4 linked regions of the Drosophila melanogaster genome follow. The protein of the gene in region 4 purifies or fractionates together with the protein of the main gene of each other region. This does not show direct contact. Each region holds a gene or a part of one and is shown on either strand. Other genes may lie near its edges.

Region 1 (6,227 bases), on a different chromosome or scaffold from region 4:
CGGCCAAATTGCCGGTCTCCACAACTTTGGACTGACCTGCTTCCTAAACACCCTGCTACAGGCGATGGCCGCCTGTCCCCAGTTCATTGCCTGGCTGCAATTGTACAACAACGCCTCGCCGGATCGAAAAAGCTTAATTACGTCGATGTTAAACACTCTGGAAGTGGTCAATGGCACCCATGCCACTCTGCGCGGCGATCCCTATTCACCGGGAGCCGTTCTCCGGGCTCTGAATGCCCTGGGCTGGGTGATTCCACAGGAGGAGCACGACGCCCACGAGCTGTTCCACGTGCTATTGACCTGCCTGGAGGAGGAGGCCATACGACCACAGCCCCTCGGCTGTCTGTCGGATGCTCTGCCCACGGATAACGATGATAACAGCAGCTTGGCAGGCACAGCAACGCCAGTAGGGGGCTTTCGATCATTTAGCTCCATGGCAGCGGGACTGGGAGCCAGCCAGAGGATCGGGGATCAACCGAACCGGCCCTCCAGTGCCATGCTCACTGATTTCTTAAACATGGAGTATGATGAGAGCACCAGTTTGCAGCGATTGGTGCGTTCCGAGGCCCACACACCGGATTCGCCTGCCTCTGTTTGCGAACGCGACGGAAACGATCGCCTGGGATCCGTGCTTCTGGATGCCGTTTCGCCAGGGACACCCTTTGGCTTTCCGCTCGTCAGCAATCCGGATTCCTTGGCTACGCCTATGTTGGGCGGCGAGCGTTCGTCGCGACCGCGACTTCCACAATCCCAACAGCAGCAGGATGAGGGTCTGAATCGCCGGGTGTCCAGCTCCTGTCGATCGCTAGAGCGCCTGCATCGCGGACCAGGTCGGGTGTCCATCTGGTCCAACATGATGCCCAGCCAAGTGGCGCATCCGTTTCAGGGCGCCATGGGCGCACAGATCGTGTGCAATGGCTGCGGCTCCAAGTCGGCCGTTCGGTACGATAAGTTCGACAGCATAACGCTAAATCTGCCGCCGCAACGCAGAACTGGCTTGAGTTTGGGCCACTTGCTTAGCGAGTATATCACATCGGAGGATCTGAGCGATGTCAAGTGTGACTCCTGCAACGAGACCACCACGCACACCAAATCGGTTACGTTCGCTAAACTACCGGCCTGCCTGTGCATCCATGTGGCGCGGACGGTGTGGCTGCCAACTGGACAGGTGTGCAAGCGGAAGGACTATGTACACTTCCCCGAGAGCCTCTCCATGGCGCCCTACAGCTTCGTGCAGCCGCATCTCAATAGCCAGGTGAGCGTGTGTTGCATATGTTTGCCCCAGAATAACAAACTTCCCCTGTAAAAATTATCCTTATATATGATCATTTAAATACATATATCTAAAGGATATATATGTATAGGATATATCTATAGAATATAGGTCTTTCCTTTTCTAATTGGTGTACAAAGAGTAGTGGCATTCAATTCAAGAACTGTTTACATTTAGTAACTAGCATATTGTTAAAACAAACACTTTTGCTCATGATTACAGGCTGGCACTCCCTGGGGCTCGACAATGTCGCTGTATTCCTCCAGCCTGCCGATGAACAATGGCGTTGGTGGTGGCGAGGGCTTTGGCACGATGTTCCCCAAGAATCTTTACCGGCTTCTGGCCGTGGTGGTGCACTCCGGGGAGGCAAACAGCGGTCACTTTGTAACCTACAGGCGTGGCTCGTTGCGGAACGCACATCGGTATGGTTTCCATTGCCTCTGTGTAATAATTATGCTAATTCTGTGCTATCCTTATTAGGTGGTACTACACATCGGATACAATTGTGCGGGAGGTGAGCATCGACGAGGTGTTGAGCGTCCCCGCCTATCTTTTATTCTACGATCGTGGCCAGCAGAGGCAGCTAAATCTGCGCTAGTCAGGTGTAGGTCGTCGGTATTATTCTAGTCCATACTTTTGATGTGATGAATATGAATATCCGAAACCAAATCCTTTTCGTCGAACGGTGGCCATAGCAAACACGCGTCACATTTATATAGATATATATACATAACTCATATAAGTACGGGAACCCACGATGATCTGACCTATACTCGGCGGGTTCATGTAATGGTCTCCGCATAATCCAAACTCTGTGTACGGCTTATTGCATATAGGAACTCCCTATCGTAACAGAGAGCTCGACTCTTCATTTGTTATCTATGCATTTAAGATTTTTTAAGAATTCCAAATTCATGCCGTGCTTTTAGCTGTCTGTATTTAGCAATGTACACAAATCAACTACCAATAATTGTTTGCGCGTTAATTCTGTAGGATAGATGTTCAATAAAAATTTCGAAATCAGTTCCAATTTTTTAAAGTGCTTTCTCTGAAGGTTTTGGATAAATAAAATATATTATAATACTGAATGCACAGAAAAATCCAGAAGGGTAATTTCAAAAAGGGTGCAAAGTATTGTACATCGATAACCACCGATTAATAATCGATTATCTGGACATGTTGTGATAAATCAGGGTTGCATTTCACGCCGTATTTCGTTTCATTTCCCTAAAGAGTGAACAAAAATACGCAATTGGACAAATCTAGTGGCTAAGAATGTCTGAAGCGGAGCTGGAACAGACACCCAGCGCGGGCCACGTGCAGGAGCAGCCGATTGAGGAGGAGCATGAGCCGGAACAGGAGCCAACCGATGCGTACACAATTGGCGGTCCGCCGAGGACGCCGGTTGAAGATGCGGCGGCCGAATTGAGCGCCAGTCTAGACGTCAGCGGCTCGGATCAGTCGGCGGAGCAGTCGCTCGACCTCAGCGGTGTCCAAGCGGAGGCCGCGGCGGAGTCAGAGCCACCGGCGAAGCGCCAGCATCGCGACATCAGTCCCATTTCGGAGGACAGCACGCCGGCGAGCAGCACATCGACTAGTTCCACCAGGTCGTCCAGCTCCTCCCGCTACGACGATGTTAGCGAGGCGGAGGAGGCACCACCGGAGCCCGAGCCGGAGCAACCACAGCAGCAGCAGCAGGAGGAAAAGAAGGAGGACGGTCAGGATCAGGTGAAGTCACCAGGTCCAGTTGAATTGGAGGCACAGGAGCCCGCGCAGCCGCAGAAGCAGAAAGAGGTGGTGGACCAGGAAATTGAAACCGAGGATGAGCCCTCCTCCGATACGGTAATCTGCGTGGCCGACATCAACCCCTACGGCAGTGGTTCCAACATTGACGACTTCGTTATGGATCCCGATGCTCCTCCCAATGCAATAATCACCGAGGTGGTTACCATTCCAGCTCCTCTTCATCTCAAAGGGACACAACAACTGGGGCTGCCATTGGCTGCCCCACCGCCACCACCACCTCCTCCAGCAGCGGAACAAGTCCCCGAGACTCCCGCCTCGCCCACAGATGACGGCGAGGAACCACCAGCAGTATATTTATCCCCCTACATACGCTCTCGCTACATGCAGGAATCGACACCTGGCCTGCCCACCCGCCTGGCGCCGCGTGATCCTCGCCAGCGCAACATGCCGCCGCCAGCCGTAGTTCTGCCCATTCAAACCGTACTTAGCGCCAACGTTGAGGCCATTTCTGACGACAGCAGCGAAACTAGCAGCAGCGATGACGATGAAGAGGAAGAGGAGGACGAAGATGATGCCTTGACCATGGAGCACGACAACACTTCCAGGGAGACGGTCATCACAACAGGTGACCCTCTGATGCAAAAGATCGATATAAGCGAAAATCCCGACAAGATCTATTTTATTCGGCGCGAGGATGGCACCGTGCACCGTGGCCAGGTGCTTCAGTCTCGCACCACTGAGAATGCGGCCGCTCCCGATGAGTACTACGTCCACTATGTTGGTCTCAATCGCCGCCTGGACGGATGGGTGGGCAGGCATAGGATCTCGGACAATGCGGATGACTTGGGCGGTATTACCGTGCTGCCAGCGCCACCATTAGCCCCCGATCAGCCAAGTACTAGCAGGGAAATGCTCGCCCAACAGGCCGCCGCGGCGGCAGCTGCCTCATCCGAACGGCAGAAGCGTGCGGCCAACAAGGATTACTATCTGTCCTATTGCGAGAACAGTCGCTATGACTACAGCGACCGCAAGATGACACGCTACCAGAAGCGGCGCTACGATGAGATCAACCACGTGCAGAAGAGCCACGCTGAGCTGACCGCCACGCAGGCGGCGCTGGAGAAGGAGCACGAGTCCATTACGAAGATCAAGTACATTGATAAGCTGCAGTTTGGCAACTACGAGATCGACACCTGGTACTTTAGTCCCTTCCCCGAAGAATATGGCAAGGCACGTACGTTATATGTTTGCGAGTACTGCCTAAAGTACATGCGCTTCAGGTCGAGCTATGCCTATCATCTGCACGAATGCGACCGCAGGCGTCCGCCCGGAAGAGAGATCTACCGCAAGGGCAATATATCCATTTACGAGGTGAACGGCAAGGAGGAGTCACTATACTGCCAACTTTTGTGTCTGATGGCCAAGCTCTTTTTGGACCACAAGGTTCTATACTTCGACATGGACCCGTTTCTCTTTTACATCCTTTGCGAGACGGACAAGGAGGGCAGTCACATTGTGGGCTATTTCTCCAAGGAAAAGAAGTCGCTGGAAAACTACAACGTGGCCTGCATTCTGGTATTGCCGCCGCATCAGCGTAAGGGATTTGGAAAGCTACTAATAGCCTTTAGCTATGAGCTGTCGCGCAAGGAGGGCGTAATCGGTAGTCCGGAGAAACCGCTCTCGGATCTGGGTAGGCTGAGCTATCGCAGCTATTGGGCATACACGCTGCTGGAGCTGATGAAAACCCGCTGCGCTCCAGAGCAGATCACAATCAAGGAGCTGAGCGAAATGAGTGGCATCACCCACGACGACATTATCTACACGCTGCAGTCCATGAAGATGATCAAGTATTGGAAGGGCCAGAATGTCATTTGCGTTACGTCCAAGACCATTCAAGACCACCTCCAGCTGCCGCAGTTCAAGCAGCCCAAGCTGACCATCGACACCGATTACCTCGTCTGGAGTCCGCAAACTGCAGCGGCAGTGGTCAGAGCTCCGGGAAATTCCGGCTAGCATACGGAACCTGGAGACCCCGTTCTGCTATCATCGCATATAATTGTTATTGACGATGACGATTAGGTTTTTTTTTTTTATTTTTTTTTAAAGAAAGCGTAGGAATAAGCTATTCTATTGCACCCCTCCAAACGAAAAATGTATAGTCATATATCTAAATGGAACCATCAGAAGGTTCAATGTAATACTTAACATTTGGTTTACAATTTTTTTTTTTTATAGTTAAGGAGTTTTACGGATAGGCTGTTGTAACTCTTAATGATAGAACCAAATGTCTAATTCGTTTGGCTAATGTTTTTGGAGAGGGAATTTGGAACAACCATTTAAAAATTTTAAAAACTTCTGTGTTCTTGAAATATATATCTTTAACTACTTTATCTCGAAAAACTCTGGACTTGTTAAAAACCAAATAAACTTCCACAGCAGCCGATATGCCGACGCCTGAAGAGAATACATCTCTATGAACTCCTTACACGTAAGATAGCATAATCTCTCCACGGTACATTTTTATACACTATAATTAAGGAAGAGAATCCATAATATCTTTTAGGCTACACATTAGGTTAAGTTCAGAAAGAACTGAACGATTCCTACTGACTAATGAACAATAATAAATGATTTAAACTGTAAAAAAGAAAAACTCCAATCTGAGAACATGATGTACTTTCTCAAATAAATGCGTCGTTACATTAACGTCAAAAAGAGGAAAAATTAAATAAATATTTACAACGACAGGTTATTCTTTTCATTATTTTTGCAACACATTTCTTGTAGGTTAGCTTAATATGTATATTTTGATATAATAAAAAATATATATAGAAATATCGAAAACATTGGAAAAACAAGTTTAAAATTTCGAGCATTAAAATCCATTGCTAACCCTCTCCTCCCTAGCGTCATAAGCAATCGGTTATCGAGGTTATCGATAACGCCCGCATCGATACAATTCCGCCGGCTTGTCCGATTCGTGTTGTTGTGATTCGGGATATATACAGGATATAGGGCAGCCAAAATGGGCCTGCTGTCCGATCCGTCGATATCGACGCAAAGCAAGCTGGTGGACGGACTGGCGCGTCATGTTCGCAAGGTGTGCTACGCCCTTTATGTGGCGGGTGTGGCCTGGTTCTTCTGTTTGGCGCTGCCGGAGTTCAACCACGGGACATATCTCTCCGAGAATGCTCTTTCGCCAGGTGAG
Region 2 (7,442 bases), on a different chromosome or scaffold from region 4:
ATTGTAACCCTAGATAGAAAAGATCATACATATTTCTGTAAAACCTGCTATAACCCATCTTTCCATACAGTGCGATTAATTTGTAAGACTTTTAATCTCGCAGCCATAGAGTCCATGGATTCCTGAATCCAGCTGGAGTATGCGTTGATGCGAGTGAAGGCATAGGGTTTTAATGGGGTGCAGGCTTTTCGACCGTAGGAAAGTAATCCGTACAGCTTCTCTTTTGCCACATTCATCAAGGGAGCTCCAGAATCTCCCTGAAATGTAAAATTAAAATAACTCTTATTTAACTGATATAAAAATTATTTTATAGCATTGGTGTTTGTTCCTGGTAAGAAATTATAGGACTTCTATAAATAATATCCTAAATACCTCTTAAAAATTGCTACGTATTGCAAACCAAGGAATTTGACTGGAATATGTTTTCTAGTTTCAAATTTTATAATGATTAAATATTTGAAATGTACCTATATGTAGTTTGTTTAATTTAATTGGAAAACATATTCTTTGTTGAAAAAATTTTAATTGATTTTCGATTATGAATTTCTGGCGTATTTCTGATCCACTTACGTCGCAGGGACCTCGCGGTCCTTTCAAATGCATCGCACAGATGTCAAGCGGTTTGAGGAAAACGAAGCGATGGCTTTGCTGGCACTCATCGTTCTCCATGGTCAAGAAGGGCATCTCCTGGAGTTTTCTTATCTTGCCGACGCCAACCCGACCCCAGCCAACCAGCGAGGCCTGGGTGCCACTATCCCTTTGAGGCTTTCCAGCAAAGTTAATGCTACGAAATCGCACATCGTCGAGCGGGAATTTGGGGTAAATCCTCAACACGGCAATGTCGTTGCCGCCGAGCACCCTAAACTGGGGATGCCATCTTCTTTCCACGACGAAGAAGCGGGTCTGCTTCCGGCTGTTCAGCGAATCGGCGCCACCAGCCACGTACAGTTGTTTGGTTGGATTCGTTTGGATGCAGTGGGCTGCACTGAGCACGAACTCATTCGAAAGTATAACGCCCACGCAAAGGTGCTTGTAGTATCCTTTAAGGTTCTCTCCTATGGAGACGATGTATGGATAACGAGGGCGGAAACTTATCACCTTCGTGGTCGACACAGTTGTGGCTAACAAAGGTGTGCTATTCTGCGGGGTGTCGGAAAGCGTCTCCTGGGCTGCCGACATCGCGGCGAACCAAGCTATGGAGCAAAGAGATTGCCAACAACACATAACTGCGACCAAGTCACGAATACAAAGACGTCACAAAGACGTCTTGTAGTCAGGTTTTATCATCAAGCATCTTAACTTTATAATTGGGCATGAAATTATAATTTTCTGTATTCTCACATGGTTAACTTTAAAAGAATATACATTTAAATTCCATTATATTATCAAACTTTATAAAGTATAGCAATATTTTTTTTGAAGAGAAAAAGCTTGTACGGTTACTATCTACACGTCTGCAAAATTATGGAAACAGTTCGAAAATAGCTTAAAAGAAAATCCTCATTAGACCCCTATAACCGTGATCAATAGAAATGCTACTTGCTAGTGGCAGAATCTCTGAGGGTCTGCTTCATATTGGCCACCTGGTTGAGCTTGGCAAGGCGCTTCATGGTTTCGAGCTCCTTAATAAACGTGGCCAGCGCCTCTTTTGTGGTCGAGATGTCAGCGTCCTTTAAGTCATCCAACGTGTCCTCCTTTTCAAGTTCTAAAAGAAATTCAAAAATATATATAGATTCATATATACTCGTGACAAAAATTAGTTTTGGATACTAACCGTCCATTTCGGCTTCTATGTCATTCAGCCGATCGAGAACCAAGGATTGCTGCACCTTGATATGCTCGATCAAACGGTACTGGCACTCCTCCGGATCGATGGCAGCTTCCGGTTGCGGAACGTTCGGAAGGTCGGGGGCCTCCAATTTTGCACGCTTAACCGGTGTCAACGCAGTAGAGTCCAGATTGTCTTCGTCCCACTTTTTGGCCCATAGATAAAGCTTCGGATGACAGCGGTTGCGTGCGATGTTAATCTTCACCAGCAGCGAGTGCATCGATCGCTTGGCATCTAGCAAATTGCCGGTCAGCGTGTGCGAGCGCTTCAAGAGCTCGAATTGTTTGGTGGCCTGTGGATTTGCAGTGTGATACGCGGCCACCGGCAACTTGCCTTCGAATAGCCAGTCCTGGTCGTGCTTAAATCTCATAGAATCCCGACCCCTCTGCGGATTGCGACAAATGTAGCACACATACTTGTCCGGTACATCTGCCTCTTTGACAATTCCGTTGCATGCACCGTGTTGCCAGCATAGGCACAATTCACATTGGATCATTAGGCCGTCCTCTTCGCCATACTCGCAGATGCAGTTAATGATCTCCTCCTGCCGCATGCGCACAATTCGAATTAGTTCACCATTTTCCTTGATGTACTGTGGTGCTTTGCTTAACGTTTCAGCTGGTGGTGGGGCAAGGGCTGCATTTATGTCGGTCTGGTCATTAGATGATGGCGTGGACACCGAATCTCCCATGGCTGGTGAGTCAATGGAACTGATGGGAGTTGTTGCCGCACCACTGCGGCGTTTTTTCGAGTCGATGCGCGTATCCGGAGTGGGGGTGTTAAAAGATTGCCGTGTCTCCTCAACATCTTGTTCGGTTAAGCCATGACCAGCCGGGTTATCTGACAAAATGGGACGACGCTGAGAGCGCTGGCGGTTACTCTTTCGCGAGCCAGATGGCCGCTTCGACGGCGACAAGCGTGCACGCTTGCAGGAACGACTCAATGAAGGATTAAACGACTGAGTTGGACCAGCATCCAGAGAAACATCTTCTTGTTTAATGCCACTTTCAACAGTTGGCGACACACTTGGTGGCTCCATCTTAGGAGATAACAGGGCCTTAGTAGGCGTTATGTCAGATGGCGTTGAAGATGTGGCCGTAGCTGATACACTCTGTCGTTTAAACGATCGTGACTGCTGCAAATCCTGCTGGTGCATTTTGGCAAAGAATTGCTGGTTGGGTATTTGGTTTTTTGGCACCGCCTCAACTTGATCGATGGATGAGGGGTGCGTACGTTTGACCGCTAGTTCCTGCATCTTTGGACAGTGGCTGACGTGTCTGTAGATTTAAAGTAAGTTAGGTGTCATGAGTTTTGAATGAATATTACTCACTCTGCAAACTCCTTGTGATAATGGCGAATGTGGATTAGCAGAAAGTCTTCTTTGCGATAGGTCTTGGCGCAATCTTCGCGCGGGCATACATAAAGATTGTCTTGGATTTTGACTTTTAGGCCCCCAATGAAAGCTGAAATATGGAATTATAATTTATTTTAATATAGCACATGTTATTTCAAATTGCATATACTTACCAAAGCCATTTTCCACCACATGAGGATCTGCTAACATAAGCTGAGAGGTACCTCCCTCACTGGCTTCCAGTATTTCTGCTTCTATCTTGGGCTTTGTCTCATCGGCAGGCTGCGTCTGCGGCGACATTAACTCAGCTGGTGGCATAAGCGAGGCCACCGGTGCTTCCATGTACTGGCTTTCTTTCACCGGCATCGGAGTAGAAGGTAAAGAATGTTGCGACGTGATGCTCTGGTCCAGCGTGGAGTTCATCGACACATCCATGGGCCTGGGCTTGGGCGGTGGCTGCGGATTGTAGCCGTGTGTGTAGACGTAAGCATTGATGTCTTTGGCACGACGTCGATGGATGCTAAAGTCGTACACATCCGGGTTGTAGACCAGATTCTGGGACTCAAGGAACAACTTCAAGTCGGACTTGGAGCGGAAACGTTTGCCGCTGGGCGAGACCAGAATAACATCCCACTTGCCGAGGACGTTGGACCGCTGGTACATGTGCTTGATCCAGCCAGGAGGCAGACGCCAATCCTGCACGATAACAGTGGGTTTCTGGTGCTCGCCCACAATCAGAAAACCCTCGGTTCCAATAGGCTGGTCATTTACCCAATGACAAGTCCACTCGCCGTCATGCGGTATTTCTGGGAGTCCAAGGGATGCTGTTGGTTACGAAAGTCAAACATGAAAGTTAAGTTTAAGGCAAAACTAACATTCTCCTTTCGGTGCTCTTACCTATATCCAAACTGGCCATGTCCAGCAACGGCCAATCCCTGCGCTGAGGTGCACATTTGCTCTTCTTGCTGCCCGAAGAGCCACTGGATCCGCCAAGGCTGCCTGTGCTCGCCCGCTTCGGAGCCACAGGTGCAGAGCTTACTGGAGTTCCAACAGGAGTGGGTGACTTTGAGGCACCCTCTTCCGCTACCTGAACAGGGGGCAACTGCTTGGGCATCTTGTTCATGTGCACGGCGCGCACGTTCTTAACGTAACCATCGTCGAAGAGAACCTCGTAGGTATCGTTGCCCAGCAACTTGCGTATGGTTCCTGGAAACTTACGCGGCCCCGACCAGCGGGCCATGCACTTCTCGTCCAGCTCAAAGACGGGCAGCACACGGTTGCTGAGGCGCTGCCTCAGCCGCTCCGACTTGATGGCCATCCACTCCTGAAAGCTGCCGCTGGTCGAAGGTGACACCTTTAGCTTGTGATTGCGCTCAAAGCGCACGAGTAGCGTCTGCTCCGTCTCGTTAACTTCCACGATGCGGGCGGGCAACCAGTTGCCTTCCACACTGAGCGCCTCCAAACGGGCGCCAATAGTCAGGTTATGTGGGTTGCTGTACTTGGGCGGTGTGCCGGGCAAAGGTGAGTTCGAACTGGAAGCGGATCCAGGAGCTGGGACTGTGGCTTCGCTGCTTGCGGCTACCGGAGTCCCTGAGGGTTCCTTTGCAGCTGCCTTGTTTGCATCTTCTCCACTTTCGGGAGTATTTTTAACGTCATCCGCCGCCTTGCCTGTTTTACCTTCCTCCGTGGCCTTGCGTTCTGCAGATTCCGACAGGATTTGCGCAACTATTTGGTCTACCGTAGCTTTGATCACATCGTCATTGGTCGATGACTGAGCATTTCCCGGGGTTTCAGTCGTTCCCTCCACGCTGGCGTGCTGAAGTGCCCGTTGGTCTGCTTCGATCTCCGCGGTATCCATCTTGCCCCATGGAAAAACGGTGGGAAAGACGCGCGGCTTGAGCAGATACTTCCCATTGCGGATAGTGTTGAAGTCCAAACGGCGGAAGTGGCGTGAGCAGACCAGCACGCTCTTGGTGATCTGGCGCTCCAGGCTGATGCGAGAGTTTTTGATCCATATGGCGCGGATGATGGGATCTAGGGGGAAGGAGTGGTAAGTCACGCCGTTGTGCTCCAACAGACGCGACGTCGACGGGCAGTTGGCCACGCAGCACCGGCGGCCCATGGCGATGAAGTTCACCCAATTCTCTATTTTGTTTGCCTATGTGCAAACGCACACTTTGCTAAGTGATGAAATAATCCAGGAAACGACGCGAAAATTATCCAGAAAAATACAGCGCAATAAATTAGTGATACCAAATTGGGGTACAGTAAAAACGTGTGCGTCGGCAAACTATCGATAGTTAGATATTGCCACCTTGTTGGAAAAGTTCAAAACTATTTAACGATATTTTTTGAATTTTATAAAAAATAAATTTTAAATGACTTTATTGCATAGATCTTTATTGTGGTGATAAATAAATACTACTTTCGATAAATAAATAAATATTACTTTAGAGCCTGAGTAGGTTGAATTTAATTACTTTTTATTTCTGACTATCTCAATTTTCATGAAACTTTACATCAATCTTCCTGCCATAAATTAACTATTAAAGTTGGTAAATACCCGCTGCACAATTAATATTAATCGGTGCGTTAATGCATTTTAGCGAAGTGAGGGTGCCATAAATTTCCTCAGCTCGGCGGAAAAAGGATCACGTGCCGATACGCCACCGTTCCCAAGGCCACCGAAAGCCTATTTGAAATGCAATTAATGTACGCTTTTGGGCTTACATGTCACCACGTTCGCCAAAAGGCAGACACCTTGCAAAAAGCTAACCAAATACGATATTATCCATTCGACAAATGCTTCTGGAAATATGTATTTCAACACTGGGTTTCAAAGTTTGAGGAGCAGCTATTTACGCATACTGCTAAAATAAACACTCATTGTAGTTTTTAATTACAATATTTCACCCGGTCATTAGCATGCAAGAAACAACTGACAAATTTAAATGTGGCGCCTGCTGCTTGATCGGTTGATTGAGCCGCCAAAAAAATCGATTGAAGTATGGAGCTTTGGCCTTCAAATCGAAATATGTGAGGAAAATGTGATGGCACATTTTGAAAGAATAAAATATTAAGATTCTCTATATTGTGTCAATATCTTATGTATATATGTGGCTTGACCCCTCGAATTCCGTAACTAAACAGTTTAGTTCCATTACAAATATTGTTTTAGAATGATAGCCGGAAACTCACGGTCGAAGAGCTTCCTGTTTTTGGGTACTTCCCTGAAAACGAGGTCTCTGGGTCAATCGGTTGACTTTTAGATCTTGGGCGTGTTTGCGAAATTGACACGGAGCCAATATCAAATGGTGTTGACTTTGATTCAGTGGATTGCCAATATTTGTAATCAAATCACGGCTGGAGCATAAAGCAAACTTTAATTATAAAATGCTTTTATTGTCATATGCAGCTGACATAAATATTAAATAACGTGAGTAATTGACGTTGCTAAGCCGAATAATTTAGCATTTTATAAATTTTGGTCAGTCAAAAACTGACATTGAGGGGGCCACTCGAAGGGAAATCCAAAATGGGTGGTAAACACGGTTAGATTTCCGTTTGCATAACTATTAGTGAACATATTTGCATAAATTATCGACACTCGATGAAATTGGGACGACTGCACCTGACCTCACTCTCTTTTTGTGCAAATAATTCAACAATATGTAACCTGTGCAAAAATATTTTTCAAAAACAGAAAACCGAAAACAGAAATATGTACAAGGAGAGTACAAAACTTTTGGTCCAACTGACGGCGGCACTTTCTCCTTTAATATTTACCCAACTCATCGACAAATTGGCCAGGCCCATTCCCCAGCCTCATCTCATCGGTCCCAGCCGCATAGCCCATAAGTCAGCCCCTTCTCCCTCTCCCTCTCCCGATCCCGATCCCCATTCCGATACCGTCTGGGAACTCATTGCGTAAATATGAGGGCATGCAATGCGGTAATAGGCTGGCTGCGCGTCTCTTGACAGTTGGGCCCAGTTTCCCGGTTCCTTATCACATGATTATTACCCAAAAATATTATCGCTAAATGATGATGATCATTTTGGGCTTGAGAGTGCCCACGGGAATTCATGTAACGCCGAGTAGCTCACACAAATTAAATAAATTATGCTTGCCCGAAAGACATGGCTTAAGCAAATACACGTGTTGACCATGTAAATGGGTTGCCTAATTTATTATAATTTTTATTGCTCTTTGTCGTTCAGCATTGCACGCCGGTCATTTGAAATTTGAAATTTAATATGTGG
Region 3 (8,657 bases), on a different chromosome or scaffold from region 4:
CGGTCATTGACCTGGGCGGCGCATATGTCTCGGCTAGCAATCGCTGGTAGACCTCGTCGGAGAGCGGAAAGTTCAAGGGCTCAAAGGGAGATGGCATCACAGTGTAAGACTATACAAAAAGGAAAAGGGTTTCAATTAGAAAACTATTCTATACAATCAGTATTTGAACATTCAAAGCAGTTTGAAAACAAAATTCGGCAAAAGTAATAGGCACAACCAGAATTTATTTTATATATGAGTTCAACAAATGTGAAACTTGGACATCGACTTACCTCCCGCAGATCGGGCGTGGTGCTGCGCCGTTCCAGCTGATCCTTAAGCTTGCTAGACGTAGTCCGACGACGAGCTTGGCGTGCCTGTCCGCCAGTCAGCAGCTCACCGCTTTCGTTAAAAGCGTCCAGTGGGTACGCCAGCGGCGAGGGAATGCTTTCGTTGTCGTGACCAGGGCCGCCTAGATGAGGAGCTGGTGAGGCGGGATCCGGTGTGTTGGCGCCACTAGATTCGGCACGACTATCGACGCGCCTATTTGCACGCGATCGGGTGCTCCAGGGGAACTTAAGGAAAGTCTCGAAGCGGCGTCGCTCCTCGAGAAGAGCTCGCTGATGTCGCATAATAAACGCTTCATCCGAAAGATCTTCGTCGACATGCTGTGGCTCCTCCTCGCTCTCACGGGATTCCAGCTGTTGCTGCACCAACTGCCCATTAGCCTTGGTGACCTCGTTGGAGGTTGGAGTTTCCAGCTTGGGTCGCTTTGGCAGTGGTGGTTCTGGTGCTGGCTGAGCAATTTTGTCTTGCGTTTCGGCAGTTTTGTCAATCGGATTCTTTATCAAGTTTCCGTTGAGCTTGGGTTTGACCACCTTTTCCTTTGGATCGTCGTCTTCTTTTGATTGCGTATCGTGATCCTCTGCAGCCTTAAGTTCATCCTTTTTGGCGTTACCATTTACCAGTCCATTTTTATTATTATTATTGTTTGTATTATTATTGTTATTGTGCTTGACTGCTTGATTTTCCTTTAAACCATTAACCTTCGGAGGCTGCAGGGCCGGCTGCTCTTGATCTTGATCTGGTGGTGGTGGTAGCTGTTGTTTGGCTAGCTCCTCTGACTTTGATGCGACACAGCCATTGCTCAGTTTGCGCTCCATTGACTCATCTGACGAATGTTTTCCCTTATCGTTATCACTGTCTACAATGCGCCACCTGAAAGCAAAGATGGAATGGGTGATTTTAATAGATATACACAAATCTTGGTATTTTACATTATGCGACATATATATATAAAATAAGGACTTAGCGCAAAATTGAATACTTACTTGGGTATGGGTATTTCCTTGTAGGGAATTATCTCCATTTTCGACTGGGCTAGCATACTGTAGGGTATAACGATGTTATTGATGTCGTAGATGGGACGAACGCGACGCTCAGAGGTTCTGCAAGGGAAACATACATATAAATTATATATAACAATCTATCTTATAAAAAAAAAGCAGGACTACTTATCGCGAATCCCTGGGATCAGTTATTGAATCCGAAACATACCTCTCATTTTTATGACTGTTGGAGGGCGAAGAGTTGCGACGACTCCTGCTTTGCTCCCCCCACTGATCGCCGTAGCCATTGAGATGATGATTGTTGATTTTGGTGCCGTGGTGATTCTGCTGCTGCTGTGTGGAATTGCTGCTGCTGCTGTTGGTTGCGGATTTGCGTGCCTTCTTAGCGCCGCTCAGTGCCGAGATCGAGGTTGAGGAGGGACTGTGGTGGCGTTGTCGTTGGCGTTGGCGAGAGTCTGGCCACAGCGAGCTGGAACTGTTCGCTCCAGTTGGGTGTTGTGGTTGCCGCTTGCCCCTGGCCGCTGCTGATGTTGCGTCAAGTCCGTGATTTGGATGCGGAACGGGGACGAAACGGAGACAAGAACGGAATGGCAAAATAAAACAATTGGTGGGGTTTTTCGTTGTTGTTGTTGGTGGTGGTGTTTGTTGATGGTGTTGGTGGAATTTCGTGTTTTGGTTGATCGATGCAAAGAAAAAGAAGAAGAAGAGATGCAAAAGATTGTTGTTGTTTTATGTTAATAACAATTATCGAATTTCGTCATGTTTACAATAATTTACTGTTGGCCACAAGTGGCGTTGTAGTAGGCGTAGTAGAAGAAGAAGTAGTAGCAGTACCAGTACCGTTTCCGCTATCCCCTCCCCCGACGCTACTGCTTCCGTTTCCGCCTGCTCCTCCTGCGGCGACAGCAGCAGCTTTAGCTCCGCTCCCAGCCTCCTTATTTGAGTTGTTGTTGCGCTCCTTGCGTCGTATATAACGCCGCTTCGCCGCATCGCCCGACCGCCGGCTGCCACCTTGTCCGCCGACACCGCCTGAGGCTATCGTCTCGCGCTCCGCCTTCCACATGGCCTTGACAATGGCCTTGGGCTGGCTGCGCATGACGCGGTACTGCCAGTCCGGCTGGCGGGCAACGGCCTCCAAGTGAACCGACTGACTGACATCTGGGAAACAAGAATGATAGGGATAAGAATATATTCAAACATAATTCCACTTTAGCTGTCATCATCCGACTATTTCTTTTCATTTTGGAATCCAATGTAAAGAATACGAGGATTTTAATGTTTTAGTTTCGAATAAAAATTATTTGCAAGTATTGCATTTTAAAGTTTTACTTTTTAATCAATTCAGTTCAAATCTCAAGTGTAGAATAAATAATGTTAAACCATCACAGATGATAAGAAATAATCATGGACGAAAACCAAATGGGTCCACTCAGTGTAACCTCCCACTCACCGCTGGCGAAGCTGAGCACTGGATGGTAGCCAGCATCGAGCAATGCCACCCGGTTTTGCGGCATCATCGTCTCGACCAGATCCCTGGGCGCCGTAGGGTCTGTCCGACCCGTGCACAGTGTGCATGGCACCTGCGGCCACTGGCAGCCACACTTAATGTTGCTGGGGCGTGCGGCTTTCTTGGAAATCGTGTGCATGTTCGTGGTCTGGAAGAGCTTGCGTTTGCGGAACTCGGACAGCACCAATGGACGTGCCCGACTGCAGAGGTAGTCGGATCCGGGCTCCTCCTTAATGCCATTTGCCGGCTGTGCTAGCGACGGTGAGGTCTTAGCTGTGGACTCCAGCTGGATCTCGCCCTTGGACTGAGTTAGATCCATGTAAAGGTCGCTGTGCTGACGGATCTTCATCTCCAAATCGGTCAGCTGGGAGCAGAGCCAGGACCAGCGCAGGGCAATGGCTGCACGATCTCTCGAATATCGCCAGACAGCGCGTCGAGTGCTGCAAAGAATCAAATTTCAAGAGCATTAGGAAAGAGAATACCACAAAAAAAAAGCTAAAAGAAATATATAATCGCTAATTAACAATTTTAATAAAAACTGTTGAAATAGTTGAAATATCGCATTGTAAATGCGATAATTAGGTACAACAACTCTAATCAAAGCCTATTACAACTTTTCAATTGCTAAGGACGACGTTAAATCATGTTTAAAATGCCTGTCAAAGCAAAACAATTTTGAAAGAAAACTACCGAGCCAACATTAATCGGACAAATTCTATAGCAAAAGAATGATCTTAAAAAGATGACAGAAGCTGAAAACCCCCCTCAAAAAAAGATGGAAGAAAGTTTACTTGTAAAATATTCCCGATAACCTAAGTATGTACATAAATAATACGAAGTACTCACATTGGTAGCGAGAGCTGCTGGTTGTTGTTGTAGGTTACCATCTCGTCAGCGGATTCTCCACCAGAACTTGACTCCGTGGCGTCCGAGTCGATGGCATTCTGTACTTCTCGAAGCTCCGTGTGCAGCAGGCCAGACACATGGGTGAGTTCATTAGTCACATAGGTGTCGTAGCCGGGCACGATATCATCCGCCCGCGGTGTATTCGAACCCGTTGCGGATCCCGTCGTGCCAGCTGCCTGTCTAGATGTTACCGCTCCTGGCGCAGGTGCAGTGGGTGTGGCACCCGTTGCAACCGAAGCATCAAGTTGATTCTTTCGTGGACGCTTCATCGGCAGCGCAGAGCTGTTGCAGCTGTTGTACCAGCTGGAGGATGGCGCCAGAGTAGCAGAGCTTCCGCTGGCTGAGTGGCAGATTTGCTGATGCTTTGCCGCCGTCGCAATATGCCGGATCACATTACTCATCTGGCTAGCAGGCAGCGGATGCTTGTTCTGCTCCTCCCAGAAGGTTGAGCTCGGACGCCCTGAGACAATCGATAGGACAGTGGCCTCCTGCTCAGTCAGCGTGGAACTTCTCGCTGGAACTGGAGCCTTATGGGAACTGCGGGCAGACCACTCCATGATACCAACCACCTCCTCGCTCGCGTGACGGCACATCGCTCGCGCCTGGAGCTTGCGCATCCTGCGTAGCAAAAACTCGATCCTGCGCGAGATAACGTGCTGCTGCTGCTCCAACTCAGCATGACTCTCCTGCCAGGGCCGCTGCTCCTGCTTAATAATCACATTCGGCTGGGAAATGTTGCTGCCGCTAACGAGGATGCCACTGCAGCTGGGCTTCGCGCCCGGCACATCCACCACATTTTCGGGTGGCGCGGGCGGCAATGGCGCTGCCGGTGCTGCCTCTTCCCAAACTTCGTCGAAAAACTCGCAAATGGTATCTGGATTAACATGGCCACCGTCAAATGTTTTGAGCGCTTTAAGCACCTCCTCGATATCCTGATCCTCTAGAACAGCACCAGCTGCTCCGTCTTTGAGAAAATTGTTGGAACTGGTGGTGCTTTGCGGCGTCATCTGTTGAATGGACTGCTGCTGTGTTCGCGCCGGCTGCGGAGACTCAAGATGGGCACTTGGTGGCGCCTGTGGCCTGGTGGGCGTGTTTGGCGCCTCCTGCACGGGTACCGGAACAGAAGGTGGTGCCACATGCTCCTCGGGCCTTCCAGTGGCATTCCCATCTAGCTGGCTGAGACGCTCTGAAACAGTGGGCGAGAGAAATTTTGAGTCAAGACTATTTATTTGGAGTGATTCCTTAGACCCACCTTCTATATTATCTATTTCTATCTTGGTCACCTCATCCACTGCAGATAAGGATAGAGCGCTGCCAGCACTCGTTGAACTTGTGGCCACTGCCAGCACCGAGGCAGGCGGAACCGGCTCTTTCCCCAGACTCACATCGGGTAGGGTTTTCCTCAGGCAAATCTCCGCGGATATGGTCTCCTCAAAGTTGATGGTTAGATCCGCCAGTAGCTGAGCGGTGGAGTTGTCCTTGGGCGTGGAGCTGTTGTCGGCGGAGGTGCTGTTGCCGGCGGAGGTACTGTTGCTGTCGTTATTGTTGTGCTCCACGGCAGAGGTGGAGGCTGCCGCAGTATCCGTCGAGGGATTTGGTGAAGTGGTGCTGTGTGGAGTCGGGGCTGTGCTCAGCCCCATTGGTTCATTGCTGGCTTTAGCGTTGCCCGACTTTCGCTTGTTATTGATTGCTAGCGAGGATCGCTGCTGTTGTAGATGCGGGGAAGCGGTAACTGAGGCCGCTGCCGCTGATGAGCGGGTAATCCGCGTGGTGGCCGTGGCCGGCGTGGGTGTTGCCGGCTTCTTGACCAAGCCAACTGCACATCCAACTCCTCCGCTTTCCGAGGAGCTGCGGGCCGAGGGCGAGGCGGTGCTGGTTAGCTTCTCCTTTGGACTTAGTGGCTCGGCTGTGAGCGCTGGGGCCATCGTTCTGATGCTAATACGTTGGCCGGCTGCTGCGGCATTTGGTTCGTTCGACTCCTAAGGCGTCTCTTTATGCTAATCCTGTCGAGAATTTTCCAAAAACGGGCTATTATTTTTCGGCAATTCAGCGTTAGGACGACAAAATAAAGGCATACTATTCGGTCCGAGACTACTGCGTTATCATATAAAAGAACAATATTGGTGTATTTATTTTTTATCTCGTTTAAACCGCCCGCCTCCGTAAGATTTCAAAATTTGGAATGGTTTTTTTTTTTTGTCTTTTCCGGCGTGTTATGTACATATGCTACATATGCGTACACAACACACACACAGCGTCGCTTTGGCCAACAAGAGAACCCATGAGAGCGAGAGAGAGGTCAGAAAGCGCGCTATTGCACACCATGATGCGCAATAAAAAAAACTGTATAGAACACACACACACAAACATATGCAGGGACTGACAGACTACTTTACATACTGACGAAATCATTGCGGTTACTTTCGAAAATTACAATTTTCCAAGATTGGGCATCTTCTGCCGGCGGGAAACTGCCGATCATGCCACCATGTTTTTATGTAATTCCGTTTATTGAGTTTTTCCACTACAATTAGCCTAGGCAAACGGAAACTCGCGCCTTTACACACACACACGCACATGCTAGCACACACACACGTGCAACTGTATGCGCCACTATATTCAGTTATTTACACAATCTCATTTATTGTATTCCACATGTCTCGATCAATTCTGCAGTAAAAATCAGTTATATGTGCTTTGTGTCCTATCTATATTCGCCCAGATTCCAGCGAAAGGGCAGTGGAAAAAGGTTTTCAGCGCGAAAGTAATCGTACTCACTAACACATGCAAGCAAGAACACACCGACAGCAGGCAGGCAGCACGCAAGAATTTGTAAATTGCTTAAAAATTAAGTAGTATTTTTTTTCATTATACGCACAATTCGGCCGTTCCGAAAAATTGCCCGTAGCACAATTGGCAAATATTTTTTGCAAACACAATGGCGTGACTCGCACTGTAGGAATTACGGTTTTCGCTTCACGGACTTTTTTCCTCATTTATTTTTTTCATCGCTTAGACTGCTCTGCTACGCTTTTGGCAAAACGACGTGTATCGAAGCTGTACTCGTTTCTGTGCCAGACCAAAGTGCGCTGTCGCCCAGCTGGTTGTCTCGCTCTTGCACGTGCGCCGCCTATGGCGGTGGCGCGGCCCACTGTTGTGTGTGCGAGCGAGATGACCAGTGTCTATGGCAGGGAGCTGCAAACTATCGGCTGTGATAGCAATATATCGAGTAGATACTGGAGTGGTGCGCACTTTCGACTAGCGACTATCGATTCTCGGAATAATTTTCCGCCTTGTTTTAAATAATTTATTATTTATTTATTGTTGTACTTCAGTACTGGGTTCAGTTTTGCGAAACGTAATATTTCTTATGTTCATACTATCGAATGTTATCGACTCAGTCGATAGCAATGCAGATATGCCTGCTTACGCAAGTTGCAGCCCTGGTAATTTATTTAGACTTTGTTTCGGAATTGGATGGACAACGAAAGAGCTAATAATTCGTTTTTAATGTTTTATGTCAAAGGAAGTGAACGTATAGTCCTCGATTTCCTGGATTTGCGAAAATTCAGCCTTTGAGACCTTAGCGTTGGGAATTCGGTTGTTCTCCAGCCAATGTTTCCTTCAAATTAGTGGGCGATGGTTAAATGATTGAATTAGTGGAGTGCAGCGGTACCTACATTTCCATTAAATTCATCATAGGAGCCTCCAGTTGTCCCTTGACGGTCCCATCCCGGGTATTCATGCACCAGCCCCTAACTCCCAATCTTTTAGCCTCATGCGACGTGTGCTAAGCCAAAAATGTACATAAGTTAAATGTTGATTTCCAGATATATATATAGGCCTCCCAGTACTTACTTTGCGGAAGAACACACCTGCAAAATTTAATACGCTGTTTAACAAGCCGAATCAGAAAAATGCATTGCATACCTTGCACTCGTCCAAAGATCTCGAAATCGAGGGCAAATATCTGCTTGGCAACTCCAGATCCCGCCATTATGTAGTCGTGATCAGATTTCTGATGCCACTTAGATTCCTTGCAGCACTCAAATTTCTAAATAGAGCTAGCAAAAACTGAATGTTGACAACCAAAATAGAATTATTATTAAATTGTAACATAGTTATCGTAGCCAGGGCGACAACGCAAAACCAGGGGCGTTCAGTAGAAAATACCGTGAGGTCAGTATTTAGACAGTACACACACCTCTTGTGAACAACAATATACTGTAGGTCATCAAGCTCATCTCTAGCTAATGTTTACCGTTGCTTTTCAACGCAGGACGCACTTGGTAAAAGTTTAGGTAAACTAAACAAAACGTTTGTAATGTACAATATATATTTATTTCTTTTATAAATTAGTTGCGCTAATACAACTGCTTAGCTGGCAAAATGACGGGCGCCAAGAAAAGATCGGGAGCACCGTTAGTGGATGCAGCTCACTCGAAAGCCCCAAAACCAGGTACAGTTGCCCAAGAAAAAAACAGCCAAATTCCAACTGTTTGGAAAAAGGATCATGTAAAAACTCAACTTTTCGAAAGATCAAACGAAAAGCCATCCAAAAAAAGAACTCCGCTAGTGGCTCCTAGAGTTCAGCAATCAAAAATTGAAGCGCAAACTTCTCAGGCTGTGGAAAAAACACAGGAAGACCAAACTTTTGCAGCCACCATAGACAGTTCAACAAAAAGTCTAAAAAAGTCTCCCAAAAACGAGGGAGAATTATGGGCAGATATTCAGAAGCTGTCGCCCCACACGGGAATAATAATTCATAGCTTCATAAAGCAGTACAACGAATCGCTAAATAATCTCAAGAAGAAAGACTTGGTGGTCAGCAAGAAAATGAGAGCCATCGCCATGGACTCGCTGAAGAAAAAATCGGAAAATATCAGCTTGAAGGAAAAGTAAGACCTTCCTTCTTC
Region 4 (7,891 bases):
CTCGCGACGCTCCTTAGACAAAGCCGACTGCATCATGGCAGCTTGAGCCAGTGAGCCATCGGGATTCTTTACAATTCTCACTGGAGACAGATCATGTAAGGCTCTACCATGCCCGGAGAGGAAGGGTGGCTCCTCTTCCACAATCTCAATCTCGATATCAGCTTCGTCGTCTTCGTCTTTCGGCAATAAGCCTGTTTCCTCGTCGAAATCAGGCATCTCACTTCTGTCCAACACACCGGAACTAATCATTTGCTTGATTTCCCAGCGCTCAGGGCTGGAGATCCTAGTCACACGTTTCCTGGACTCGTGCTCGTCACCTTCCATTCCATTGCCTTGCAAATTCAGCATCGATGTGCTGCTGCTAAAGGGGCCATCTGGATTTCGATCTCGTAGAGACTCATCGTCTTCTGGCGCGTGTGACAGTGGATTAAGATCCTTTCCAGAGTCCTGATCCACCTCTTTCATCGACAAGGACACTTTTTGACCAGTTATTGACATTACTTTCACTTTAACAGTCTGATTCCGAGTGACTACCTCCGTTACATCTGTCACGCGTCCTTCTGCTCTTAGTTGTGAGATGTGTACTAAGCCTTCCCAGCGTTTCCGCAGTCCAAAAAGCTGTACGAAGCAACCAAAGGGTACAATATTAGCTATCTTGCCGGAATAGATCTTGCCCGCCTCCGGATCATCGGTCATGGCGGCAGATGGTGGGGGCATCTTTTCACTGCAGTCCCTCGAACGATCTCTCCTATCTCTCCGTTCTGTGGAACGAGATCGGCTTCGTCTTCGGCGTTCGTGGTGATCTCTTGAGCTGGAACTCTTGTGGCGTCGATCTCTGTCACGATCGCGATCCTCGCGAGACCTGCTTCTGCGGCGATTGTCTCGGGATCTGCTGCGACGACGGCGTTCCTTGTCACGCGATCTGCTTCTGCGGCGATCAGAGTGCCTATCCTCCCGCGACCTACTTCTTCTTTTTGTGTCTCGATCCCTACTTCGGCGCTTGTGGCGGTCCCTGGAACTGACTTCTTTGTGTGGTCTTACCAATGTGGCACCCTCGCCAGGGGCCAGCGCTTCCAGCTCCATCATAGCTGCATCCACATCGCTCATATCGGTTTTTTTGTGCGTTTCGGAATGCTTCTCCGGTTTCGCCTTCACCTTCTCATCGTCATCGCTCTCCTCCTTTTTGCTGTAGGTGTCATTGGGCAAAGCGAGGCCGGGAAACATTTTCAAAAGTTGCGATTTCTTGTCTTCCTTCTTGTCGCCGACAGTTTTCTCCTGGCTAGCGCCGCCAGGTCTGCTGGGGCGCATAAGATTAATGATGCGCTGCAGGTTCTGGACCAGGGAGTCTGGGAATTCGGCGCCATTATCCAGCAAAGCCTTGCGAAATGTGTCATATGTGCGATTTTTGTTTTCTAAATCGATGATAAACTCGGCCAGGTCCTTGTCGTTGATGCCCAAGTGGTTGTCTAGCTCAGTGCAAATCTTCGAGACCAGCGAAAGGTACTCCAACTTCTGCAGCTCGTCCATGCCTACGGAGAGTACTAGTTCAGCTAAAATTTACAAAATTTGTGGAAATTTTAGAAAATTTCCCGCTGAAACTAAACGTGATCAGCTGTTTCTGCACGCAATGGTGTTGCCAGGCGCGTAAAAACAACGGAACGAGGTGGCAGCACTAGCCCCAATCACTCGGTTTCTGACGCTACGCTTAATTTCGTCGCGTTTTTGTTGTCAAAACTAAAAACAATCTCTATTTTAATTAAAGATACATCGAAATATGTCTTCGTTCTTCGATTGCTTCAATGATTTTCTGCAGAGCGGCGGCAACTTAGTGCAGAATGTGTCCCAGGAGCAGGAACAGAAAATCGCGGACCAGGAACTGGACGGCGTCATAGAGCTAATGCCGCCAACCACCCCCACGCCCAGCGAGAGTGTAAGTAACATCCTGAATAAAGGAGTAATTGCTCCACTTGCCCCACATCAAATATATTCGTTTCGTTGGCGTTTTGTTGTGAAATAGAATAATTATCAGCGCGGGGCGTGAGGTTCGGGGTAGCCGCGGTGTTGCCGGACTAAAGTTCTACTGTTAGATGTGGCAAGGCCACGTTTGGCACGCCATATTTTGCTAGAAAGAAAATTCGCAGTTGTGTACTAGGAAATACCAGAAAATCAATAAGAATTGCTGGTAAAATTGGTTAATATCAGTGCGAATCGCGAGTGACCTTTGATTGGGCCGTAGGCTAGCGCCTTGTGGCATTCCCAGCTGTTTCTTACCATCGCAAGCGCGACAACGACGTAGAAAAGAAGAAGAACATCAATTTGGGGGTACCCAGTTAACGCATTATTAATTATTAAAAATTAACTATGAAGGAATCGGGAAGTGTCAGCAAAAATCAGCCGCAGACCTCAGAGGCCAGAGGCTCGATTATAACCTACAGTCCCAGCAAATTTCTGACTAGCGTTGGAACAGGCAGAACGACATACAGCACACATACACACACAACAACAGCAACGTCGGCGGCGACAACCGCAACAAAAACAAACAATTTACCAATGGGCGGATCCAGTGCCGCTTATTATGTGGTAAAGGCTGGCTCCCTGGGCAGCGCTGCCTCCATGTCGGGTTGCATCAAAGTCAGTTCTCCGCCAAAGGGGCCGCCGATGGCTAAGTCGCCCGCCCTGGTCGTTACATCGCCCTGCACGCCAACAGAGAGTGTAATGTTTAAACTAAAGGCATCATATCACCCACTAACCAGCACTGCATGCGCCCTAAGATCCCCAACCGAATCACTCACCTCACTAATGTACCTTCTTGTCGGTATTAAACACTAATTAATGCTTTTATCCTTTAGTCCAGTACCATTTCGGCCCCTAGTGAATCCTCCTTTAGCGAGAAAATGGAGCACAGCTATATGCGAGATACGCCAGTGCGCAGCGATGTTCACAACGGCCTAACGCCCGCTAGGAACATTCTGGTCCGCCATCCGCCACAGTGTCCCAGTTGCCACACATATCCGCCGCAGCACGAGGAGCTGTCAGAGATTCAGCAGGCCCATGTGCCGCCCTATGATGAGGTAGTCGCCAAGGAGGCAATGAATGAATGCGCTCGTATTGCAAAATACGTAAAGAACAACAATTCGGATGAGCAAGATTGGGTGGCGCGCGTTAATAAGTAAGTTCTCGACCTTAGTCAATAGAAAAGCTTTACCATTCAACATCTCCCACCACACAGATTTAATTGGACGCCCATGCAGGAGATGGTTTTCGAGAAGGTCTGCTCAATTCTGGACCAGGATCAGTTGGCACGCTTGGCCAACGACAAACGTCAGCACGAGCCTATCCATCGTCGCATAAGCTCGGACAAATCCGCGTCCAGGTTTCGCAAACTTCTAGCCAGCGTGGCTTGGGAGTCACGCATTACGCAGTGGATCCATGCTCTGCTCATGGAGCACTTGTCGCCTTCGTATATGGCCTCTTATCTGGAAATTCTTCAGACTCTGAAGACCAAGTTGCCCACTTTAGTGGACAAGATGCTGTTTGGTAGGCCCTTAAATAATAGTCAGGAACTGCTGGCACCGGTGATGAAAAAACGATGGGAACCAAATATCATGCCCAAGTCCCGTCAGCTAACGCATAACGCCATCATGGTGGTGCTGCCCAACATGCCGACAACTGGAACAGTTTCGGACCGCATGCAGAAGTGGTACCAGGCATTATCTACTATCACTCAGGTGGTTCAGATTTCGCTGCCGAATACAAGTAGGTTTACTAGCAGAGCTATCTAGATTATCTTATTTAACCATTTCACTTTTATAGACAACAGAATTGGGAATCAGAATCTGGACCATGTGGCCGAAACCATTGTGTCTATCACACGCGTCAAAATCAACGAATTGCGCACAGAAAACCCCAGTCGTGGCATCATACTCGTTGGATTTAATGCTGGAGCTGCCTTGGCTCTACAGGTTGCTCTATCGGAGAGCGTTGCCTGTGTGGTTTGCATGGGATTTGCTTACAACACAATACGTGGGCCACGCGGAACCCCCGATGACCGCATGTTGGACATAAAAGCGCCGATACTCTTTGTCATCGGACAAAATTCCGCACGCACAAGTCAGGAGGAAATGGAAGGGTTACGCGAACGAATGCAGTCCGAATCTTCGTTGGTCGTAGTGGGTAGTGCAGATGATGCACTGCGTGTGCCTAAGAGCAAGCGGCGAATAGAAGGCGTTACACAGTCGATGGTTGATTACATGGTTGTCGTAAGTTCAAAATAGAATATTTGTAATGAAAATACTGTATTTACTTATGATATAAATTGCAGGAGGAAATCTTTGAGTTTGTGAACAGAACGCTAAGCAATCCACCTGGACCGCGTATGCCCACATGTTTAATGCATCAGCAGGGCTACCAGCGACTGCCAAAGCAGTCACCTCACATCCTGGCCGATGGAAACGCAAACAAGGCTGTTCAGCAGATGCGTAAGCGAAAGATGGACGGTGGTTTAGACGACTCAATGGGTCAGCCTTCCAAAACAAAGTTTGTTCCTCACAGTAAGTATCAGTTTTCCAAAATTAGACCATTAAATCGCCATAACCTTATCATCCTACCATCCATCCCGCATGTTTAATCACTAACCACTTAACCATAACGTTCCCAATCAAAATTGTTCCTTCGACGAAGATCGCGTCCACAAGCCGAAGCCACCGCGCCTCATTGATCCGTTTGCTGTGAAGCGAAAGGGTAAATTCATCTCGGGTCTTCCTCTACTGCCACTTGTTGTTTGGCTCGCCCGATTCATAAACTAACATTCTTACCCCCTCAGTTGGAAGACCCCGAACACGCCCCCTTCCCAATGTCGGTGGCTCGGCACGCTCTGTTAGCCAAAAAGGTGCACCTCATCCCGACCAACCAAAACTGAGCGGCGAAGAACCTAACCAATCCATTGAATTCATACTAGATGATGCCCAGGACTATGGAGATGCCCAAACCACTGCAGGTGGTTCAGCGAGCCTGCCAAAGGTGATAACTCCCGGTGTTTTGGGAAAACAACTGCCGCCCGTCAATCTCGCAGCTGGCACCAAGATTAAGATGATCCCATCCAGCCAGTTCGTTCAAATCAAATCGCTACCGTCACAGAGCAAACTCATTAACTACACGCTAAACAAACCGAGTGTCGGGACAAGCAGCACCGCCAACATTGGCAGCGTGGTGAAGACCCTACCATGCTCATCCGTTAGTGGCCAGCAGATCATCACCTTAAAAACGCCCTCGGGACAAACGCAGCAGTTTGCAACAGCAGCCACATCAACAGGTGCCGCTGGTTCATCGACATCAACAGGAACGGGACAGAAAAAGTACACAGTTTTTAAGAACGCCAACGGCATGACCATGCTGCATCTCACCAAGAGCGTACCCACTACAGGTTCTAGCAGCGGCTCTGCGAATATGGATTTGTCCAACATTATCGATATGCCCATTGTTTTTGCCGATAACGAAGGCAATATTCCCGAGCACCAACAGGCGGATAAGGATATTAAACCAGGTGCGTTAAGTGTTATGGTTTATATACTAGATTTTAATTAAACATTTTTCGCAGCCCCCATTCGAAGTGCGAATAAGAGCCCGTTGATCATCAGTCAGAAAATCATTAAGGAGGCAAATAAGCCCTCGGGCATGGTTACCAGTGGCAGCATTACTGCCGTCAGCAAGCCGGGGAATATTGTGCTTAACAAAGGCCTTCAGCAATTGCTAAATTCATCGCCCGGTGGAACACTTGCCACTCAGAATAAAGTTGTGTACCTCAACCGGAGTACAATTAAGCCAATGGGAAATGTGGCGCCTGGTACTCATCGTGTCCCTATAAGGATTGTGAGCACCCCAAACACCGGAGGTGCAGTGACGACCACAGCTTCCAGTAGTCCCATTATGGTTGATCCAGCCACAGGATCCAAGGTTGCCAAGACCGTCAATGTGCAGACAATCAAGCCTACTGGTTCCGTTCTGGCTCAAGGCACCATCCGTCAAGCGGGCAACGTGGGCACCAAGAGCTACCTCCAGATGATCAATACCGCACCTGGTGCATCCAAAACTGTTGCTGGCGACGGCAAAGGTTCTGTACGAAATATCTACTTTAAATCGGCAACCGGACTCAAGCAGTTGCCAGTGCAGATGCTAGGCAATCGAATACCGGGTGGCGCCGTCATTTCGTCAACCGCATCGGCATCTTCTGGATCTCCTGGCTTGCGGCGAGTGGTAAACATTGGGCCCGTTTCCAAGGTGACGGCCACGTCGACAACATCATCGTCGATAGCTGCTACTTTAACCCATAATAAAATGTAGAATTGGACAATGTTTTAATTGCGTGCCTGATACATTTTCGTACTTAGCCGATATCTGTGTAAATATGTTAAGCCATTAATTAATTAGTGATTAAGGGGTCTTGAATTACCCTCTTTCCTCAATGTCAAGGATTATAATTTCGTTCATATAAAGAACAAATAAAAAAAAGTCGACAAAAAGTTTATTTTTATTTAAGTTCTGGGAATTCGGAGAACGCTTCGCTTGCAAACCTGTGCAAATTCCATGTCTGGGATTTGGGTTACCATATAATGGTTCCCCGGTCCTATGTACAAACCTTATGCATACATGGGTGCAATTGCTGAAAAGCGACGGAGCAGTACAGGAAGCAGCAGCGGCGTGGGAAATGTATTCAAATGCTTCGGCTCGAAGTGCGTTAGTCCAAGATTTCTCTGCCATTTATGAAACCACAAGTGTGTTCACACGGCTGCTCTGCGACCAGTGCTGGTAAAACTGTATTCTGATGACCGATATTTTGCTTAGAATTGCAATTCGCAGCTCACTGCCGGCAGCTTGGAAAAAAGTCTAGAGTTTCATTGAAGTTTCGCGGGCAAGTGTATGGATGGTCCTACACATACTTGTATATATATATATATCTAAATATATATATGTGGGTTTCTTGTTAAATGCCTCTTTAGTTTGTGCAGTACACTTTAACCCATTTGAGGTATATTCTAATATATGATGTATATTTATGCAGAAAACTAATTTAAAATCTCATATCTCCTATTATTGTTTTTGTCGGTATTTTAACAATATTTAATATTTTGGTATTAAAGTGCTCTTAAAAAATTGCTATTATTTGAACGATACATAATCACGATACAATAATAATCATAAAAGAATTTAATTTAATATTTACATTTAATAAACCGTTTTTTTTTTTTGGACCTAAAGGGTTAAGTGCACTTTTTGACTAGTCAGCAAATTGCAAAGTGAAGCTCTCTCAAAAGCCAAAGAACATTTTCGCGGATCCCGAATGCCGCTTGCGCAGATTTTGAGTTTTACTTGTGATTTCTTATTTGCTTTAGTATCCAGTCATATATTTTATTACATTGTATGTACAGTCCGAAATCGTGTAGATATATAGAAACACAATTATGTATAGCACTGTATTTTTGAGGCGTCAAGGGTAATACGGACATTTCGAAGTGCTTGGAACTTCAGTAGCGCGACAAACGTGATCACGAGCAGATCGTCAAGGATTACAAAGTAAAGCTGCAAGGATACTGAAAGGATCCAATTGGTTGGTTCAACCAGAGTTTTCAAGGATAATACAGTGCAAACAAAAGGATTTAATTGGGTGATTAAAAACAAGTGCATTCTACGGTTGTTTTAACACAAACAAAAAAAAAAACTTTTTTACCCACTACTTTTGGCAAATTCAAATTAATTTTATGAGTTAAAAGTGAAATTTGCATATATGTAGGCAAGTTAAAATATCTCCTACGATTTTTGCACCATTTTTCATGTGACAAAAAAAAATCTTGAATATTTTCCTGATCATTTCCCAGCGACTTACGCAATTGGAAAA

What was found.
Region 1: the proteins of Rcd1 (region 4) and mof purify together in Drosophila melanogaster (affinity purification with western blotting; 2 studies listed by BioGRID, with this or other methods). This does not show direct contact.
Region 2: the proteins of Rcd1 (region 4) and MBD-R2 purify together in Drosophila melanogaster (affinity purification with western blotting; 4 studies listed by BioGRID, with this or other methods). This does not show direct contact.
Region 3: the proteins of Rcd1 (region 4) and nsl1 purify together in Drosophila melanogaster (affinity purification with western blotting; 5 studies listed by BioGRID, with this or other methods). This does not show direct contact.

The regions. Positions count from the first base shown.
Region 1 is NC_004354.4:5,873,074-5,879,300, reverse strand, and holds mof (males absent on the first), read left to right. Parts: upstream 1-2,447; 5' UTR 2,448-2,548; coding exon 2,549-5,032; 3' UTR 5,033-5,461; downstream 5,462-6,227. Other genes in the region: Usp30 (ubiquitin specific protease 30), read left to right, coding at 1-1,255, 1,496-1,695, 1,754-1,871; GAA1 (glycosylphosphatidylinositol anchor attachment 1), read left to right, coding at 6,045-6,222. UniProt on the Drosophila melanogaster protein: Histone acetyltransferase that catalyzes the formation of the majority of histone H4 acetylation at 'Lys-16' (H4K16ac), an epigenetic mark that prevents chromatin compaction and constitutes the only acetylation mark intergenerationally transmitted.
Region 2 is NT_033777.3:12,350,840-12,358,281, forward strand, and holds MBD-R2 (MBD-R2), read right to left. Parts: upstream 5,427-7,442; 5' UTR 5,305-5,426; coding exon 4,080-5,304; intron 4,007-4,079; coding exon 3,356-4,006; intron 3,292-3,355; coding exon 3,159-3,291; intron 3,106-3,158; coding exon 1,775-3,105; intron 1,706-1,774; coding exon 1,536-1,705; 3' UTR 1,304-1,535; downstream 1-1,303. Other genes in the region: CG10041 (uncharacterized protein), read right to left, coding at 48-257, 571-1,224. UniProt on the Drosophila melanogaster protein: Component of the non-specific lethal (NLS) complex, a multiprotein complex that promotes expression of housekeeping genes on X chromosome and autosomes.
Region 3 is NT_033777.3:15,791,916-15,800,572, reverse strand, and holds the start of nsl1 (non-specific lethal 1), read right to left. Parts: upstream 6,792-8,657; 5' UTR 6,520-6,791; exon of another isoform or gene 6,373-6,519; intron 5,745-6,372; 5' UTR 5,667-5,744; coding exon 4,994-5,666; intron 4,928-4,993; coding exon 3,682-4,927; intron 3,276-3,681; coding exon 2,779-3,275; intron 2,487-2,778; coding exon 2,106-2,486; coding exon of another isoform or gene 2,092-2,105; exon of another isoform or gene 1,853-2,091; coding exon 1,537-1,852; intron 1,428-1,536; coding exon 1,311-1,427; intron 1,198-1,310; coding exon 273-1,197; intron 110-272; coding exon 1-109. Other genes in the region: Acyp2 (acylphosphatase 2), read right to left, coding at 7,249-7,363, 7,422-7,531, 7,600-7,616, 7,672-7,738; c(3)G (crossover suppressor on 3 of gowen), read left to right, coding at 8,131-8,639.
Region 4 is NT_033778.4:14,146,885-14,154,775, reverse strand, and holds Rcd1 (reduction in Cnn dots 1), read left to right. Parts: upstream 1-2,067; 5' UTR 2,068-2,361; coding exon 2,362-2,712; intron 2,713-2,849; coding exon 2,850-3,169; intron 3,170-3,229; coding exon 3,230-3,756; intron 3,757-3,813; coding exon 3,814-4,259; intron 4,260-4,321; coding exon 4,322-4,550; intron 4,551-4,680; coding exon 4,681-4,740; intron 4,741-4,822; coding exon 4,823-5,542; intron 5,543-5,596; coding exon 5,597-6,339; 3' UTR 6,340-6,513; downstream 6,514-7,891. Other genes in the region: pea (peanuts), read right to left, coding at 1-1,527.